Drosophila melanogaster: one gene and its partners. Each later gene encodes a partner of the first gene's protein in a complex. Each region holds a gene or a part of one and is shown on either strand. Other genes may lie near its edges.

Region 1 (5,034 bases):
GTGAACATTTTCTCTATAATAAAAATGCGCGTTTGCGGGGAGAAAAATCAATGCCGTACCTTGGGTGAGATTAGATGCGAAGTGCCGTGGATCAGGGGTTCCGTAGACTACTATTATATCACTGGTGTGTGCTGTTGCTCAGGTTCCGTGCTTTTGTGTTTCTCTCAGGGCTCTCGTCCACATTCGTCCACTGCGTTCCATTTTATGCGCCGCCAGCGAAATGCGAATAACTTGCTTCCTGTTTTCGGTGCTCGCTTGTTTTTGAATTTGGCTGCTCGGTTCCGTGGGTCGCCGGAATCGCGTACCGTCCTCCGACCCGTTGTCTGGTTAGCTGCGACTGCCAGGAGCTGCGACTCGAGCGAATGCAGCGCATCGCCCAATCGCAATTCTGCAGAGCCAAAATCGCAATTGCAAGCGTCTTCGCCGTGCGTACAACAAATAAAAGAAAAATGTTTTATGTTGGGCGGCCCTTGCACGATTGGACGGCAGCATATCGTCATGCAAGCGTTTCGTGCACGTCGCCAGCATGATGACCGATAAACCGCGCAGCTTCAAATTCAAACCGCAATCGATTGTTACATCTTTCGAAGGTTTTAAACATTTAATAATATTTAATTTAATTTCGAGTGCCTAAATCTAAGCAAGTTTTATTATTAGTGTTTAATTTCACTTAACAAGTTGCTAAAATTATTGAATTGAGCCCTAACATCTTAAATAATATTAATATTAAATATAAACTGCTCATCTCGTTCCCCTTGGATTTTCTTTCTTGCCAAACTACAGGCTAGTCAGACTAACAAGTTGGAAAATCCAGAAAGCAAGCAACGTGGATCGTTCCTTTTCAAGTAAATACGAAAAAGGCTACCAAAATGGAAATGGATTACTATCTGCCAGTGTATAACGGATCAAATTCGGTGGACGTGCCGGGGCTGATTGAAAGTCTCAAGCTGAAGGAAACCAGTATATCGCCAATCGTGCTGGATCGCTATCCGCCGTACTCCCCGTTCTATGGCGTGATGGGCGTCGTATTCTCCAGTGTGCTGACCTCCGCTGGAGCGGCCTACGGAACTGCTGTTTCCGGAACTGGAATCGCCGCCACAGCGGTGATGCGTCCCGAGCTGGTGATGAAGTCCATCATTCCGGTGGTCATGGCGGGCATCATTGCCATATACGGTCTGGTGGTATCCGTGCTCCTATCTGGGGAACTAGCGCCTGCTCCCAAATACTCGCTGCCCACCGGCTATGTACACCTGGCCGCTGGACTTTCGGTGGGATTTGCTGGACTGGCTGCCGGATATGCAGTGGGTGAAGTCGGCGAAGTGGGCGTGCGGCACATTGCCCTGCAGCCACGCCTCTTTATCGGCATGATCCTGATCCTTATTTTCGCCGAGGTGCTCGGTCTCTACGGCCTGATCATTGGGATTTATTTGTACACGGTCAACATTAAGTAGCAGAATTTGTTATATCTAAAATATTTAATTCGTTAAGAAACGTTTTTATCGATCTTTAATATTTGAAATGCCTTTTGAATTTCTTTACGCGATTGTGGTACTCATTTCAGGTACGCCGTTGCGGTACGCGATGGAGGTACCCCATACTAATGATTCTACGGAATGCTGGTACCTTATTCTTTAGCAGCTTTGCCGAATTACTAGATATGTAAACAATTTAAATCAATTTGTTTCTTACGAAATTTGCTTGAATTCAGTGAGAATCGCTTATTTACAAGTGTATGTGCAAGGGAGCTTTCTTGCTGTTCCGTCATCTGGTAACACTGAACGCTCCCGGCATTTTTAGCGAATAGCGCGTGAATTTCTGTTTTGATTAAATTAATTGAATTGATGTGCCGTAGCTGATAGCCAAGAAACGCATAGTGCAGCCATGGCCGACAGCCCGTTCCCGAGGAGCAGCCGCAGTGGCCTGCTACGCACGACGCTGAACAGCTCGATGCCGCCGCAAAATCTCTCCCACTCGCTGCTCATCCTCGAGAAGAGCAACGCGGAGCAGAATGAGCTCTCGCTGATGGAGGACACCGGCGATGATCTGGATCGGGGCAAGAGCCGCATGGACGTGCTCTTCCCGCAGTTCTTCGACGTGCTGCAGGCTCAGGGTAACGGGCAGGAGGCATTCGAGGTGATCCAATCGCTGACGCAAGTCTGTCGCGGCGTGGTGGAGCAGCTGGAGCTGGAGATCGATCACGGCATGGGTGGGGAACAGGGCGCGCGGCAACGCGAGTCTATGCTCACCTGGCTGCGACAGGAGATAAACACGTGGCGCCTGCTGCACGCCCTCTTCTACGACCGCATCCTGCTGCAGACGGACAGGCAGGCGGATGATGAGATGCAAGATGGCCCCACGCTCGGCGGCAGCGAGAAGGAGGTCATACAGCAGTTGTACGCCCTCAATGCGACGCTGCGTGAGTACCAGCTGGTGGTGGACTGGCTGGAGGCGTGCTACGACCGGGGGGAGCAACAAAACCCACTCCACGCCCACGATCGTATGATGGCGTGGGAGAACACGCTCTTCCAACTGGAGAACCTGCAGGGCGCCGCCTTTGGCAAGGGCCATAAGATCGTAACGCGTCTGGATCCAGATGCTCCCGTACGCGAGAAACGACCGTTGCACGCCCTCGACGAGGAGGACAACCTGCGCCTGTCCCGCGCCATTTTCGAATTGATACGAGCGGGACGCGTCGACGATGGCCTCAAGTTGTGCAAGCACTTCGGACAGACGTGGCGGGCGGCGATCCTTGAGGGCTGGCGTCTCCACGAGGATCCCAACTTCGAGCAGAATGTCTCGGTGCTGCACGAAAAGCTGCCCATCGAGGGCAATCCCAGGAGGGATATCTGGAAGCGCTGCGCGTGGATGCTGGCCGATTCCAAGAACTATGACGAGTACAGCCGCGCGACGGCGGGTGTCTTCTCCGGCCACTTGGGCTCGCTGAAAACCCTTTTGCACAGCAACTGGCACGATTTGCTCTGGGCCCATCTGAAGGTGCAGATCGACATCCGTGTGGAATCGGAGATACGCGGCTGCTGCCTCAAAAACTACCAACCGATGCCCGATGATTACTGGAACGGCAGGATGACGATGGAGCAGATCTTCGAGGAACTGAACGTTGCCAAGGATGCGTCGGTGCGGGATTTCGCCCAAAGTCAACTGGGCATTATCCAGCGTCATTTAATCCTGGATACTTGCGGCGAGCTGATCCAACACATGGTGCGCTGGGTGGAGAAGGATACCTCCCAACAATCGCCCCATCAATTGCGCTTTATGGCCCACATAGTGCTCTTCCTGCGTCAAATCGGCCGTGTGGAGCAGGAGCGACAGGCGGAGAAGATCGTAGCCGCATATGTGGAGGCATTGATTGCCAGGGGCGAACCGCAGCTAATAGCCTACTATACTGCATCGCTTTCGAATCCGCTGCAGGTTCAGCTCTACTCGCGGTTTCTGGAGCAAGTGGAGCAGAAGCGTCCGCGGGAGCTAGCTGTGGATGCCGCCCTGCAGGCGGGCTTGGATGTGGAACAGATCACACGCGTCACCGTGCAGAATATTCGCCTCGCACATCAGCCACTCGGGGAATTCGGTGAGCCGCAGTCCGGCGAGATCTCTGCAATCGATCAGCGCAAGATCTCAGCATTGGAGTGGCTAATCCATTTGCCGGAGCAGCGCGGTGAGTTGCTGTGGCAGGCCAACGCCATGATACGCACCTATCTGGCCAGCAGCAAGGTGGAGTGCATGCGCCAGACCTTCCGCATGGTGCCGGCCGACATAGTGCAGCAACTAGTCAGCTTGTACGGCTCGGTGGACAACATACCACCGCGTGAGGAGTGCTGCCTGAAGGAGTATCTCTGCTACAAGGCGTATCTGTCTGGCGTCGACAGTTTCGTCGAATGGAACCGCCTGCAGCAGAACAGGCCCAAGAAGCCACAGACTTCACACGCAGCTTCCTCGCAGGACAACTTCACGGAGCGCATGGCGAGTGAGCGCAAGGAGCAGGCTCACCGATCGGAAGTCGTGCGCTGGGAGCACAAGGTTAAGGAGCAGGCCAAGCGTAAGTGGATCGCATACCCATTAATGAGATCTTTTGGCATATAACCCGCATTCTTTCCCTGCAGAAACCATCGAACTCCTGTACAATGTGCTCATGTTCCCGGACAAGGGTTGGCTGGTGGATCCGTTCATCGCCAAGCTGCCCGAGAACGCCGTGCAGCTGAGCTGGGATCATCGCCTACTGCAGATGGAGAAATTGCGCTCCATCTGCATTCCTGAGATCGCCCTGTTTCTGAACGAAGTGATGTTCAAGTCGGGAGACTTTGCGGGTTGCGTGCGCCTGGCAGATGAAATATCCAGCGAGAATCGGCAGTTGTACAAAGTCTATACGAAGCACAAGCTGGCAGAGCTTCTGGCCAAGATCGCGGACGCCTCCCTGGAGCTGCTCAACTCGAAACTGGATCCATGGGGCTATCCTATAACAACTTAGCAATCCTAGTACATTTGTGTGTTTTGCGATTACATTCTAACTTTAAACGTTTATTATTTATTCACTGTTCAATTATACAACTAAGGAGGGGGACAAATGGGAGGTAGGTAGGATGGAGGGCTTAGGAGTTGTTGTCCACGGCGGCGGCGGAGGCGTTGTTCTCGTCGCACCCGTTGCTATGCTTTAGTAGGTAGGAGGCCAGGAACTGTATGGGATCCGTGGGCCGTTCGCGAGCCAGGGCCTGCATTCCGTGGAGCAGAACCGGCGCCACCGTCTGGTCGAGGTACTGTCGCGTGGGCATGTTGTTTGTCTCGCTACTGGGCTTCTTGGCCACCGCCGGCTGCTGTTGCTGCTGCGCCACTGGATTTGTGGACTGGCCAACGGCAATGGCTCCGGATGGAGGAGCTCCCGGCGCAGCGGTCGGGTTTGCTTGCGCATTGCTGCTTGCATTTGGCTCCTTGCCAGCTTCTGCCGGCGGATTTGTTGTGGGCGCTGGTGAGATGGGTGCGTCGGTCTTGGCCTCCATGGCAATGTGTTCCTTTTGTTCAGCA
Region 2 (3,569 bases), on another chromosome or scaffold:
TTTACGATTGCGAAAATGACAACACGTCGCCGGCTGAGAAATGGTTACTAGCTAACTAGATCTAATCTTCGCCACTTGTCTTATGTACACTTTGCGCGAATGAGGCTCTAATCATTTACCAGGTAATACCACAAGTATTGTGTTAATTTGTTTAAATTCGCTCAACTACGACAATTCATGCAGCTGCGTTCCAAAAAGTTCAGAGATGAGTGATAGTCGGTGGACCTAGAGATGTGACCGAAACCGATTCCGCTGTCGATACATCGGTTCGAGCACAAAAATCGATATATATCAATTCCAAAGTTCGATTAAGTTTAAAAAGTGGTATTAGTTTAAAACCGTTGAAAAATAAACATATTTATAACCAAAAATTATATTATTAGTTCATAAGTTGATTTGAAACATATAGGTTTCGAAAAACCAAACAAAATTATAACCAAATAGAATTGAAGGTACTTTAAATTCAAAGTCTTCAGGTCTTATACTCATCGTTGGTGCCCTCCATTCACATGCCCCATCCAGTAAACTAATACACTGATTAAATTGGATTCTTTTACTCTTAAAAATTCACAATAATTACAAAATGCACTAAAGGGACACTGAGGGGAATGGATTTTGCTTCGACACGACCAGTTTGTTGTGAGCATGTGAGATGTACCCCTTAATCTTTCCATCGTAAATGAGATTGGCCACGATGCAGTGCGTCTCGTCCAGAGAAACATCGGTTAAGCCAACGAAATGCAAGGCGGAGAGGAAGTCACCCATGTCCAACTGATGCGATTTCCGGATGACGAACACCTTCTTGAACAGGTTGCGATACACGAGGAACTTGAGCTTCTCCACCAGCAGATAGATACCACTCCTGATCAGCACCAGCTCCTGGTCCCTGACAATCTCATCAAAGCGATTCACATTGCCAGCCTTCATGGCCATAGCCAGATCGAGAAACAGCAGGAGATCGTAGCGCTGCAGTAAGGATTTGCTGGGCAGATATCCCAGCAGCATCTTCACTGGCACCAAATAGATGAGGATGAGCCTCTTGTTGCTGGCAAACCGATCCGGGCAGTTGCTAAAGGCATACGACAGATACTGTACGGCTGCCTGGTAGTTGGAGTCGAACATAGCCCGTCTACCTACAAAATACTTGTAGGTAATTTGCTCCGGCAGCGGAAAAGAATCCTTGAAGATGCAATTATCGATGGCACGGATAAGGGGCTTGCACAGATGCAACTTGTTGATTCGAAAATAAATCTTGAATAGCTGGTTTACGAGGTTCATCATGCCCAGACGCTTGGTGTCCTCCTCTGAAGCTCGTCCATCAGCGGCACAAACGCGGAAACAGGCCATTATGCAGTCGGCAGCCTTCTCCAATACGTGGCCAGGTGTGAATCCTTGACAATGCTTCTCGCAGGCCTGCGCCAAGTACCTTAGATCCAGGCACACGCGGTACATTAGTGGCAGGCACCAATTCTCGTCCTTCAGCTGCTGCAAAAGCCTCACAACGGCTCCGCAGGCTGCCGACTGTTGGGTGTAGGCTTCCATGTAACCAGGAGGCTCCTGTGCCAGGTGATACAGCACCTTCAGGTGGGCGGACACAACTTCGTCCAGTGGCGGTTTCAGGAATCGATCCACCAACTTTTCCGGCTGGGCAATGTACAAATTGTGGTTCTGAACGTGCACGTCTCGTAAGGAGAGATACGTGGCCAAGGACTCGCCATCTAAATCCTGGGCGGCGTGCAAAACGCCGGATAAATAGTTATTTACGGTGCCGAACATTGTTTGTGTTTTTCGCAGGCGGCAAAATTAGAGATGGTAGGTCAGGCACTATCTGCGAATGCGATGTTTTCATCGGAAACTTCTATCGATTGTCTTTGTTTTTTATAACGCGATAATACAAAGAATATTTTTTCAAAAGTTTTTTTTTTAACATTTTATTTTATTTTATTAAAAAAAGGTATTTATTTACATTATACTCGGTTTATAAAATAAAACTCTGAACGCAGAAAAAGAGTTTTTTGTTTTAAATTTTAAAATTTCCCTCTGCAGCGAATCGATTATATTCCGCGAAGGTCTTTTGCTTGCCCAAAAGATTCTAAATTTAAACAATTTTCGTACATATAGTTGTGATAGCAGAGCTGTCACAAGACATGCTGTTTCTAGCCAGTTTAATAGGCCTTTGAGTATAGTTCACTTAGTAAATTACAAATTAAAGCTTTCCAAAAACGAAGCCAGTGCAACAACATATTTCACAAGGAGCAAAAGGATTCAAACATGTCGACACCGAATTTTCTCTTGAGCAATGGTAAAAATATGCCTATGTTGGGTCTCGGAACTTGGCGGGTAAGTACTTTTACATAGATATATATTGTTATTAAATAATAGCCAGCTGAAATGTGCATTTCCACTGCATATTTCACGGTCAATGTCAAAGCTCTTCGGGGTCAAGCAAAAGCTTTTGATGCACCTCAGCTTTTTACGTTTTATTCGCCATTTTAGAGCCCGCCGGAAGTGGTGACCCAAGCAGTAAAGGATGCTATTGATATAGGCTATCGCCATTTTGACTGCGCTCATATCTATGGCAATGAGGCGCAAGTGGGAGCTGCTCTCCGGGAGAAAATGGACGAGGGAGTGGTCACACGGTAAGTGCTGCTTTCAGGCCTAATCAATCGTTTATCTAAGCCATAAATACATATTGCACTGCAGAGATGAACTCTTCATCACGAGCAAACTTTGGAACACACACCACAAGCCGGATTTGGTGCGCCCGGCATGTGAGACAAGCATAAGGAACTTGGGAGTCAAGTACCTAAACCTCTACCTGATGCACTGGCCCATGGCCTACAAGTCGGGCAGTGACAACCTATATCCCACGTGTCCGGACACCAATAAGGCCGCATTCGAGGACATCGACTATGTGGACACGTGGCGTGCAATGGAGAATCTGGTGGACGAGGGTCTGTGCCAGGCCATCGGTGTGTCTAACTTCAATGAGCAGCAGATGAATAGACTTCTCAGTGTGGCCAAGCTTAAACCGGTAGTTCTTCAAATCGAGTGCCACCCGTACCTTAGTCAGAAGCCATTGATTACGCTGTGCTATGACAATGCCATTGCTGTGACCGCCTACAGCTGCCTGGGATCGGGACATACGCCCTACGAGAAGCCCGGCGCTTATCCACTGCTCCAGCATCCGACCATCTTGGCTATAGCTGAGAAATACGAAAGGACTGCGGCACAGGTGCTCCTACGCTTTCAGACACAATCGGGTATAATTGTCATCCCAAGATCAGTAAGCAAACAGCACATGTTGGACAACTTTAAGCGAATCTGGGACTTTGAGTTGGCCGTCGATGACATACAGGCCATTAACGAATTGGACTGCAATGGGCGTTTTATGACCATGAAGGCGTAGGTGTTGCTCTTTTCATTTCCTAGGTTTTAACTTGAAATATCTCGAATCTTTCTATTTTTCTCCTAGGGCCTATGGACATCCTCATCATCCATTTGAACCCAAAGCCAAAGTAGATAATTAATATTAATTAATATTAGAAGTACAAGTAGTTATTTAAACT
Region 3 (5,063 bases), on another chromosome or scaffold:
TGGCCAACAAAAAACCTGCACGGACCCTGGCTGGCTGGTTGACTGGGAGAAAACTAGTTTCCCACACAAGAAATAAATATGTAACGAGCCAACTAACTAGACTGCACATGTATGCACACGCCAGAGCACATAATAATGTTAATGTAACAACGATGGTGATACCGATGCTGGGAGTTGAACAAACTGGAACTGCCAGAGACGAACCGTTTGCCACTCATAATGAGTCCGAGCGATTGCCTTCTGCCTAGCCGTCGAAATTGGACAATTTCAGACAGTGGCCGAGGAAAAGTCGGGCGGTCCAAGAGCTGTGCGGTGCAAGTGCATTGACCCACACAATTATTTCCGCAGCATTGGCGACGAATGTGTGAACTCGTTTCGATTGTTTCGACTCCATTGCCCGTAAAAGTGCAAGTTCAAAGCTACAGGAAATGCTAAACGACGACATAATGGCAAAAGTGTAACGGCCACAACTTGTTCGTTGTCTCGATCATCGAAAATCACCGGGTTGTGTTACACATATGTGGGTTTTATTCAACGTATCAGCTCATTTCCATTCCTATCACGATTGTCGCAGCTCGGGCAGTCCTTTAATTATAACATCCAGCGCCCTCAGGTCCTTGTTGACGGTATCGCTCAGCACCTCCATGGCGCGCTGCTGCATCGTCAGAAAGGTCTTCATCTCGTCCTCCGCTTCCTTGTCGAGGGCATACTCGGCACCACCGTTGGCTGCGAATTGATTGCGCTGCATGCGCATCTGGGAGAGGAGCTCGCTGAGTCGGCCCTTGAATTGGGTGGGTGCGGAGACGACAGCCAGCATGTTCTGTAGCTTGGTGCGCAAGGCCTCCTCCTCGGGCGTCAGGGAAGTGCCCACCTTGCGGGTGCACTCTTGTTTCACTATTATCTGTGGTTGAAAAATGCGGATTTCTGAATGTAAAAATAAAGTTGGGTATTTAACTAGGTGTCCCTACCCTTAGTATGCGATGACTGAGCTCGGCCAGTTTCCGTTTATGTTCAAGTATCTTCGCTGTGGCAGTGGCATGGCGCTTCTTGAGTTCTGTCAGCTCACTCTCCACCTTCTTTATGTACAATGCATGCGTGTCCGTTTCTTGTTCCTGACACTTAACGCGCCACTTTAAGTCGTTAAAGCCCACCATGGGCACTGGTATATATAAAGTTGGATCTGGATTGTCGGAATTGGCCTGACGCCACATGCGCGGATCCACGCCGCGGGGTGGATTTTCAAGGTACTCCCTCAATTGATCTTCGTCGGGTAATACCAGAGCCAAAGCCTCCACAACACCTAGATTATTGAGCTGTGGTTTCAGCGTCGCCTGATTAAGGTAGTTTGAGAGTTCGGTGGCAAGTATACGCTTGCTTTCGTTGGGAGCATGTTGAAGTTTCTCCTCGACATAAATAACAATTTGGCACTTTTTGTTCTCCAACTCCTTGATGGAATCTATGTGAACAAGCATGTTGGGCTTGCTGCCGAATAAACTGTGAAGCGTTTGAATCACTTGTTGCTGGTGTGGCCTAAAATAAAATGAATTAATACCTATGCCATGATGTAGACAAGCACTAAGACTTACTTGACAGCTGAGAGTTCTCTGCAGAAGTTAAGAGCCACCAGTCCCAACTTGTTATCCTTGCCCGGCATACGACTGTAGCCTATGGCCTTGAACCGGCACATCACGTTCTCCGGCGTAATGTCTACCGGTGCCGCACTCTGGGAGTAAAACATTTTCCCAGTGCCCCACGTAGCCTGCAAGTAGTTCCATTTGGCCACTATTTTGTCCCGTTCATCCCCGAAAATGGATACATTCAGAATGGATTGGGCAAACGCCTCGTCAGCCGATATGGGCGCTGGCTGCTGTTGCGGCTGTCCAAGCATAAAACTGGTGCCTCCGAATCCACCAAATCCCGGCGTAACTGTTGTATTCGCTGGTTTTCCGAACGCTGAAACATAAACCAGGTTAGGAATACCACAGAAAGACAAATGGGCTTATTTAACTTACTGGATCCGAAGGCTCCGCCCCCAAAGCCAGTGGACTGGCTGGTGCCAAAGCCACCAAAAGCAGGTGCCGACGTTGTGGTTGTGCCAAAGCCTGAAAATCCACTTGCTGGCGCTGTACTCGCAGCTGCCTGTTGGCCGAATCCGCTAAAAGCTGGTGGTGCTGCACTAGTCGCTGGAGCGCCGAACAGACCGGCCTGACTTGTTGCCGGAGCTGCTCCAAATCCGCCGAAACCGCCTCCTCCCAAACCCGTGCCCGCAGTTGTGGTTGTCGCCGCACCAAATGCCGGAGTACTGCCAAAGGCGGAGCCGCCAAAGGCAGAAGTTCCTGTGGCGGCTCCAAAAGCCGGGGCTGCAGCGGTTGCTCCAAAGGCGGAACCTGCTCCGAAGGCAGAAGTCGCCGGTTGGGCGCCAAAAGCCGGAGTCGATGTGGCCTGTGCTCCGAAAGCGGGTGCTGGCTGGCTGGTTGCAGCTGTGCCTCCAAACGGCGATCCGAAGAGGCCACCGGTTGCTGAACAAAAGAGATAAGAAGACCAGAAATGGGTCAGTGTTTTGAAAACTATGCTTCTGCCTTGGATTCTTATCTGAGATTTCGGGTTCCAAAATACTACAGAAGCTGCCCTTAGTTTGCTTCAAGCTCTGGTCGCCTGCTGGTCGTGGAAAATGGCTCTGGTTTTTATATTGCTGATCCTCCTGCTAGGTTTTGTGGGATACGTCGCCTATGTGGTCCACAAGAAGGGGTGAGCATCTTTGTCTGGCCACATAAGAACACTGACACCATGTAGCCCGTCCCACATCCAGCATAGATCCCAAAGACATCCGCATCCACAGCCTGCAGGACGCCAAGAAGCTGCTGAAGCCTCCACCAAGTGGAAATGGACCCCACAAATATTTGGAGAAAAGGGCATGAGGTCTTGTTTACGGAAACTCACTTTTGGCCGGCGTGCTTGTTGCTCCCAGCGACGTGTTGGATCCGAAGAACGACATGATGCGGTATTCTCAAGGACGTTACTTTGCCGCACAGTTTGGGTTGCCTTTCCTAGGGGCCGGAATTTGTACAATTCTATTTTATTGTAATAAAATTAGTCTTAATCCTAATAAACGTAAAATTTTGGCGCTTTCTAGCAGTGTTACCAGATTGTAAATGGGCTCTCACCCTTGCTGACAACAACACTTGAATTTCCCTTATTAATTTGGTAACACTGCCGCGCGGTCTAAATTATCGATAGTCTTAGGCCCGACTTTTGATTATTAGTACGCTATAATTTGAAATTTGGCGGCAAGAAAATCAATTCGCCACTTCAATAATCCTGTCAAGTTTTTAATTCTAGTTTACGCCTCCTCTCTAATGTTTGAACTGAATATAATATCCTCCTTTCTGATCATTGCTTTTCTTTTTGATATAGTAACTTCCATGAATGGATACTATTTTTGTTGTTTTCACATTAAACTCTTTCGTGACTCTAATAATTAAACACTCTTTGGGCTTGTTCTTTTCTTTATTGATACACTTATAGCATAGCATAGTATAGATTTTGGTTATCAATAGACATACACCATATACAAATTTCCTTGAAATTATTCCAATTTAATTGCAATAACGTTCAAAATTCATCGCAACCTCTGCTCACCAGATCCAAAGAGATACATTTATATATATCAATTACAAATTCGTGTCGCACATGCGCAAATTTTTTGAAATTTGCTAAAATTAACAGTGAAACTAATAATACGATCCGAGGGTTATAGCCCGATCTATAAACGATCTCGATCTATACAAGTCAATGCCGCGATTATCTTGTTTTGTAGCTTCTTGCTAGTTCGATTGCAACTCGAGATATGATTTAATTTCGAGCTGTGCGTTAAAAACTAGGGTGCAGACATTATTTCTGGTTTAGTGTTTTGGAAGTTAGTGGTCTTCGGATTCAAGTATATCGCTCCTATTTCTGGCTAATTCTATTGTTTTTTTTTTTTTTTAATTTTTATAATTAAATATGTTTGTGTTCGCATATATGCACGTTCTACAACTAGGTTTGTGTTAACAAAAACAAAAAAATTATAACAATTTTGTAAATGGAAATACAATAATAGTTTGCGTTCGTATGAGTGGATGAGTATAATGATTTTTGGGGCAACGGGCCGAAGGATCAAGGAGAAAAGGAAGAAACAATTTAGAAAACATCGACAACAACTCAAGGAGGTAGCGAACAAGCGATCGGTAAGCGCGTTTCTCATACACTTCGATATACGTAGGCGCATATATCTCGATTGGTTGTGAACGTGCTATATATATATGTATGTAACATTTCGATTAGTATGCGCGTGTTTCATAAAGTAGACAAGTATATGTTCTAGTGGCCTCCGGTGTGCTCGCTATCCTGGCTGTCGCTTTCTCAGAAGACGAAGCGGTTGATGTTCATGCCCAGTCCATTGCCTCCACATCCTCCGGGCGGCGGCGGCGCCTTGTCGTCCTCGTCACCATCGCCATCAAAGTTGTGCCGGCTGACAAACGCATTGCCGTGACCGCTGTTGCCACGCTTAAAGCGTTGCATCTTCAACTCTTCGTTGTAAACATGGTTGTCCTTTCTTACGTAGTCGCGAAGTCGGCGTGGCAACTCCTCCAGCTTCAGAGGCGGCGACAGTGGCACCGAGACCACCTGGTCATTTGAGCCCGATACCATACTCGAACTGCAGCTGGCCGTAACCGAATTAGACTCATTGGAGTGGCCGCACATCTTGTAGAACAGGATGTAGGGCGTGTTGGGCGAAGTGAGATTGTGCATCTCCTCCGGCTTGGAGTGGGTAACCACGTTATCGTTGAACTTGTACCAATTCTTGGCTTGATCCGCCGCGAACGTAAAGTAGTGACCGGAATCCATGCTGTACCCGGCGTGAACAACACCCGCATACAGATCATAGTGCACAGTGGACATCTCCTGCAGCGAGTCCTTTGCCGACATTTTTACTGTGACCTAGCGTGCGAAATGGTTAGCTAAACTTGTAGCGGAGAAATTCGCTGCGATACTTACGCTCTCATCGTGGAACACCTTATGCA
Region 4 (4,970 bases), on another chromosome or scaffold:
CGGGCTGCCGGTTCAGTGGCTGCACGGCGTACATTATCCGATCCGTCCAGGCTGGCCGCCGCTTCAGGTCGTACTCGGAGGTGCCCTCGCGGAACTTGAAGGTGGGCGGAAAGGCGGGCAGTCGCTCCTGCAGAACCTGAAAGGCCAGCTGCGACTTCTCGCGAACTTGATACAATTGATCCCGCTGGATAAGGGCCTCGTGCTGGGACTCATCGCGTACCAACTCGCGCACTTCCGTCGAGGAATCGCTGCCCTGCAGTCGGAAGTTCAGATCGCCAAACCAGAAGACATAGTCGTGATCGTAGATCTCCCTATACCGCTTGACGTGGTAGTGATGGTTCTCCAGTATCTGCTTGTAGTCCTCGATGCGCTCGTCCATCATATGGTCATGGGCAGTCAGATGGGCCACCACAAAGGCCAGTCCGCAGCCGTAAAGGGTGAACCTGACACTGACGGCGCCCTTGTTGCCCCAAATGCCACCGAAACCGGTCCTCGTGAACTCCGCCTCGATGTCCTGCAAGTGCTCAACGTGCTGCCGCCTCACGAACATGCTGAGCAGCAGCCCCTGCATCTGCTCGGTCTTTACGGCCACATAGTCGTAGTTGCGTAGCAGTTCCTTAGCCTTGTGCGTCCACGGATCCTCCTTGAACAGTCCCAACACCTGTTGCTGCGGCTGGGCATTGACCTCCTGGAGCCCCAACGCATAGATGTCCGGCAAGTGGGCATTAGTCTCCTTCGTGTCCTTATCCACCGTCACATCCTGCAGTCCCAGCAGATGGCGGAGGGATATGTTATCCGGAAATCGACTGCCCACATTCCAGGTGACCACATATACCCGGTAAGTTTCCAGCTGTTGCTTCCCTTTGCCCTTCGATCCGTCCGGCTCCGAGTCCGGAATCTTGGGTGTCTTGCTAGCCTCCGTTTGGCTCATTGTTGCTGGACTTGACAAATCGAAGAGATTAACCCAACTGGCTGCTCACAGCAATCAAGTTGTTTACCCAACCGATTAAGGTTTTATTGTGTAAGTCGATTCTTTATGCCTTTGTGGATTTTGTTGCTCCAATCTGGGTTGCTGGTTAAGTTGGGTGGTGAACAGCGGCGAGGGCGGTCGGTAATTGCTGAAAATATTGCAGCACAAATAGTTTTTAACACTTGTTTGCCCAGCAGCAGCAACAACAACAACTGTGCTACAACAACACGACGAACACAATAACAACAACTAGGGATGGCAAAACTGAGAAGATGACGATATCGACTAGCGGTATTTATTTTCCAGCCCTAAAAATGTAAATTTCTTAGACGTTAAGAGGTAACATATTTGATTCATCTAGTAGTAAATTCAAGTTGTTTTAAAATGGCTTGCTAAAATTGAACCAAAACAATATGGTTTCCCCTATAACCCATTTTTTAAGATTTATTTAACATTTATACTGTATAATTTCTTTGTCATATTTGCACCTTAATAAGGGCTTTTATATTTGGCGCTCATATTATGTTCGTTTATTATATTTGCTTTATTTCTAATGCAGAATCTGTGGTCACTCTAGCACTCGCTGAATTTTAACTCGCTGGAAATTCTTTTTAGGACAACTATCGATTAACATTAGTACAGTATTTAAACTTTTGCATTATCACACAGCCAAGTAAAAACCTAAACAAATACCTCACTCCAACTTAAAGATACAAACGAGAATTCCTTTTAGTCAATGCAAATGCTTAGTATTCAAATGACAACACAAGCAAATGGTTACATATGTTATAAGTCGCACTTGAAGCGGTTCTTGAGTAATAAGCCCGTATGGCAGTTCATCACCAATTAAAAATATTTAATAATTACAGACTTCCAAACCGTAAACGTGCATGTAACCGATAGCTGCAGGCAACGTATCGATTAGCACACGCTGCCCGACACGCCGATAGTATCTGACAAACATCGATTTTGGTTCCAGCTCTACTTTGTGGCCACACACGCGTTTTTTCCCCAATCAAATCGTGCTCTTTTGAAATTCTGTTTCTTGCAAATCGGTGGTGCGTGTTCTCGTGCAACAATGGAAAACCTGAATGCGACCAGCGGCAAATGTTAAATTGCAATTAAAAGTGTGGATTTCGCGGCGGTAAAACGCCAAAATTCGTACCGAATCGCTGCGCGCGTGTGTGTGTGAGCAGAGCGTGAAGAAGAGGAACGAAGAATTGCGAAAGCAGTGTGTGCGGAAGAAGTGGAAGAAGCACAAAGACAAAAGGAAGGTGAAAATATATCAAATATATATCAAATCTATCCGGCAAAAGTAAAACAAATATTGAAGAAAACGGGCGGCATGCTGGAAAGCGGTAAGGGCAAAGCCAAAAGCAAGAACCTCGAGCGCTTCGCCCGAATTCGGTATTCAATCCTTTTTCCCGCCTCTAATTTTGCAGTGCTTGTGCCCAGAATTTGCTCTTCATTGGTGGCCAAGAAGTCAAATCCTGATCAAACGCGACCAGTTTGTGGCGCCAAACAGAATATTATTTAAAAATATCGCGGCGTGTGTAAAACCTCGGCGAAACGCGAACAAAAAAAACCACGACGGCGTGCGTAAGCGCACTCACACCTTTGCACACGCACAGACAGAGAGAGAAGGCAGGATAGAGAGTGAGAACGAAGCGAGTGAGCGAACATTATCCGCACCTACACATACAAACTAGCTCGCAGGAATTGCAACAGTGTGTGCTTTTTTTTTGGTTTTTTTTTTTACTTACGTTTTTTGTTGTGTGTGCGGCAACGCTTCTTTTTCGCGTTTTTTTTGCATCTCTCTTTTGTGCCGTTGCTTCGCCGGCTAAAAAGGTGAGTCTGAATCTAAAGCGGCATAATGGAGGATGCACAGGAGCAAAGGGAATCCTCGCAAGCCGAATTGGCCAAAAAGCATCCGCTGACGCCGCTCAAGGAGCTGCCTGAAGAAAGCGAGGAGGAGGAGGAGGAAGAGGATGAATCCTCGGCGGGAGCCCTACGGGAGTCTGACAGCAACAACGTAAGTACAGTCGACGATAACTTGGTTCCCATCAAATATCCAACTTCCGTGCAATTGCAATTGCAGTCCATCATGGGGAAGATGAAGATGCGCGTGTCCAGCATTCTGCCCGCCTCCTTGAGCGGTTGGTTTTCGCCGTCGTCCAAAGATGGGAACGATGCCTTATCCTCCCCAGCTAATCTCCGCCAGTCACAGCCACGCCAGTCCAATGGACGCCTCACTACCAAGCGGAAACGAGGACGCCGTCGGATAATGCTAGCCGAAGTGGATGCCGATGCAGCCGATGATCTTGATGACGGCTCCGATGCCAAAGGCCTCAACTATGAGGAGGTGGCCCTGGCCGACAACATAGCCGAACACGACCTGGCCGCCGAGGATGAACAGACGCGGCGGAGCGAGTACAATGTGTTCCTGCTGCGCAAGCGAGCCGGGGCTGTTGCAGCTGCCGGCGGTGACGAGGATGAGGCCGAGGAGGATGAACTGGAAGAGGACGACGAGGATGGCGATGAGGAGGATGACGATGAAGAGCAGGAGAATCTCCAACAGTCCGCCGCCGTGCAGACCAAGCGTCGACGCCTGGAGGTAAGATCACATCTTCAATCCTGTCTACATTTCCCAACTAATCTTGAATCCCTTTCAGCTGGAGACCCCCGTCAATTTGCCGAACATGCGTCGTCTGCCCCTTTTGTCATCCACGCCTGCTGCTCCGCTCGCGGCTGCCACCAGCTCCTCCAGCTCCCAGATGTACAAGGGCGTCAGCCACATTGCGCCACATCGGCGCAATCACCTCAATTTGTATGGTAGTCAACGGCAGCGCGAACCCGCGTACAACTTTTTCACGGGCAACGAAGCTGCCGAGGGAAGCACCGGGGATCTGCCACACAGGTATGTTACTGCAGTCATGCTTACTAAAAGTGTTAATATGGAATTCAAAAAGATAACTACCTTAGAGCTCGTTTCAAACAAACTCAAATTTGGGCGTTGCATAGCCAGGCTATTGCCAAGACGAAAAAGAAGAAAACCTTAGTGAAAATTATAAGGCAATCATTTAAATCATTTTAGCATCCGCCGTTCACTGAACATACCTTTCGGAGGCAGCAGCACCGCTACCAGCTACAACAACAGCCTATCCAGCCTTCCTAACCACAAGCGACCATCGCTCATAGGCAAGCAAACCCATCGACGCGATCTTACCATGGATGAGACGGGGACTGGCCCGGCCATGAGTTCGGAAGAACATCTCAATCATTTGCTGAGAATAAGCAGGACCAACAACAATACTAGCAACAATAATAATAATAATAATAACAACAACAATGTCATTGAGACAAAAACAAGACGAAGTGAACTGTCTGCGGCCGCAGGAGGTTGCGGTGATTCGCAGTCCGAGAGCGATATGAACGAATACCACGACAATGGTGAAGGGCACGACGGACTTCGTCCGTCGCATTACAACAGCAACAGCAATTTAGAATTTTACGGAAATCTGCAGAGCTCCAAGTCAATATTTAACAGAAGCAACACCGCCGCACAGCAATCGCATCGGAATTCTACGTGGTCGCTGAATTCCCTTACCCAACGACGTCGCTTCAATGCGTCCATATACGGCAGTACGTCGGCACTGAGCGACAGTCGTCTGCTTAGTGGCAGTGCCTCTAACTCAGGCTCTGCATCTGCCTCTAGCTCGCCCTTTTACCAGGGACGCACCACCTTCGGGGGCAATTCCGGCAACAATCGCCTCTTCAGTCGCAGCAATCTTAGCTCATCCGCCGCATCCTCAATGTTGGGACTCAATTCTGCCGGCAGCTCACCGGCGCATCAGCTGCATGCTTCCATGACTGGTGGTATTGGATACGGTATGAAAGCGGTAGATATGCGACCTTCAGACTCCGGCAGTCTTGCGGAGACATCTGTGGGCCAAGGTGGCAGTAAGAAACCCGGTACCGGGCTGTCGAACACCACGATGCG

The links.
Region 2: Nup107 (region 1) and PCID2 share a complex: the UniProt entries of both Drosophila melanogaster proteins name them as parts of the nuclear pore complex.
Region 3: Nup107 (region 1) and Nup54 share a complex: the UniProt entries of both Drosophila melanogaster proteins name them as parts of the nuclear pore complex.
Region 4: Nup107 (region 1) and Nup153 share a complex: the UniProt entries of both Drosophila melanogaster proteins name them as parts of the nuclear pore complex.

Annotation. Positions count from the first base shown.
Region 1 is NT_033779.5:10,732,793-10,737,826, reverse strand, and holds Nup107 (nucleoporin 107kD), read left to right. Parts: upstream 1-1,755; 5' UTR 1,756-1,881; coding exon 1,882-4,054; intron 4,055-4,118; coding exon 4,119-4,483; 3' UTR 4,484-4,534; downstream 4,535-5,034. Other genes in the region: Vha16-5 (vacuolar H[+] ATPase 16kD subunit 5), read left to right, coding at 870-1,451; Dpy-30L1 (Dpy-30-like 1), read right to left, coding at 4,605-5,009. UniProt on the Drosophila melanogaster protein: Plays a role in nuclear pore complex (NPC) assembly and maintenance. Required for nuclear import of Mad. Mediates the association between the nuclear pore complex and a subset of active chromatin regions adjacent to lamin-associated domains.
Region 2 is NT_037436.4:11,624,687-11,628,255, reverse strand, and holds PCID2 (PCI domain-containing protein 2), read right to left. Parts: upstream 1,816-3,569; 5' UTR 1,777-1,815; coding exon 589-1,776; 3' UTR 541-588; downstream 1-540. Other genes in the region: CG6083 (uncharacterized protein), read left to right, coding at 2,272-2,340, 2,497-2,639, 2,704-3,405, 3,476-3,530. UniProt on the Drosophila melanogaster protein: Required for the export of nuclear mRNAs and involved in mRNA trafficking in the cytoplasm.
Region 3 is NT_033778.4:12,427,942-12,433,004, forward strand, and holds Nup54 (nucleoporin 54kD), read right to left. Parts: upstream 3,159-5,063; 5' UTR 2,996-3,158; coding exon 2,941-2,995; exon of another isoform or gene 2,919-2,940; coding exon of another isoform or gene 2,810-2,918; intron 2,749-2,809; coding exon of another isoform or gene 2,672-2,748; exon of another isoform or gene 2,654-2,671; intron 2,520-2,653; coding exon 2,013-2,519; intron 1,954-2,012; coding exon 1,587-1,953; intron 1,531-1,586; coding exon 969-1,530; intron 902-968; coding exon 560-901; 3' UTR 508-559; downstream 1-507. Other genes in the region: CG43204 (uncharacterized protein), read left to right, coding at 2,672-2,748, 2,810-2,918; DUBAI (deubiquitinating apoptotic inhibitor), read right to left, coding at 4,402-4,980, 5,038-5,063. UniProt on the Drosophila melanogaster protein: Component of the nuclear pore complex (NPC), a complex required for the trafficking across the nuclear envelope. Essential for the nuclear import of nuclear localization signal (NLS)-containing proteins in an importin alpha/importin beta-dependent manner.
Region 4 is NC_004354.4:16,597,312-16,602,281, forward strand, and holds the start of Nup153 (nucleoporin 153kD), read left to right. Parts: upstream 1-1,929; 5' UTR 1,930-2,328; exon of another isoform or gene 2,329-2,412; 5' UTR 2,413-2,843; coding exon 2,844-3,002; intron 3,003-3,068; coding exon 3,069-3,584; intron 3,585-3,642; coding exon 3,643-3,887; intron 3,888-4,064; coding exon 4,065-4,970. Other genes in the region: CG9784 (uncharacterized protein), read right to left, coding at 1-931. UniProt on the Drosophila melanogaster protein: Component of the nuclear pore complex (NPC), a complex required for the trafficking across the nuclear envelope. Functions as a scaffolding element in the nuclear phase of the NPC.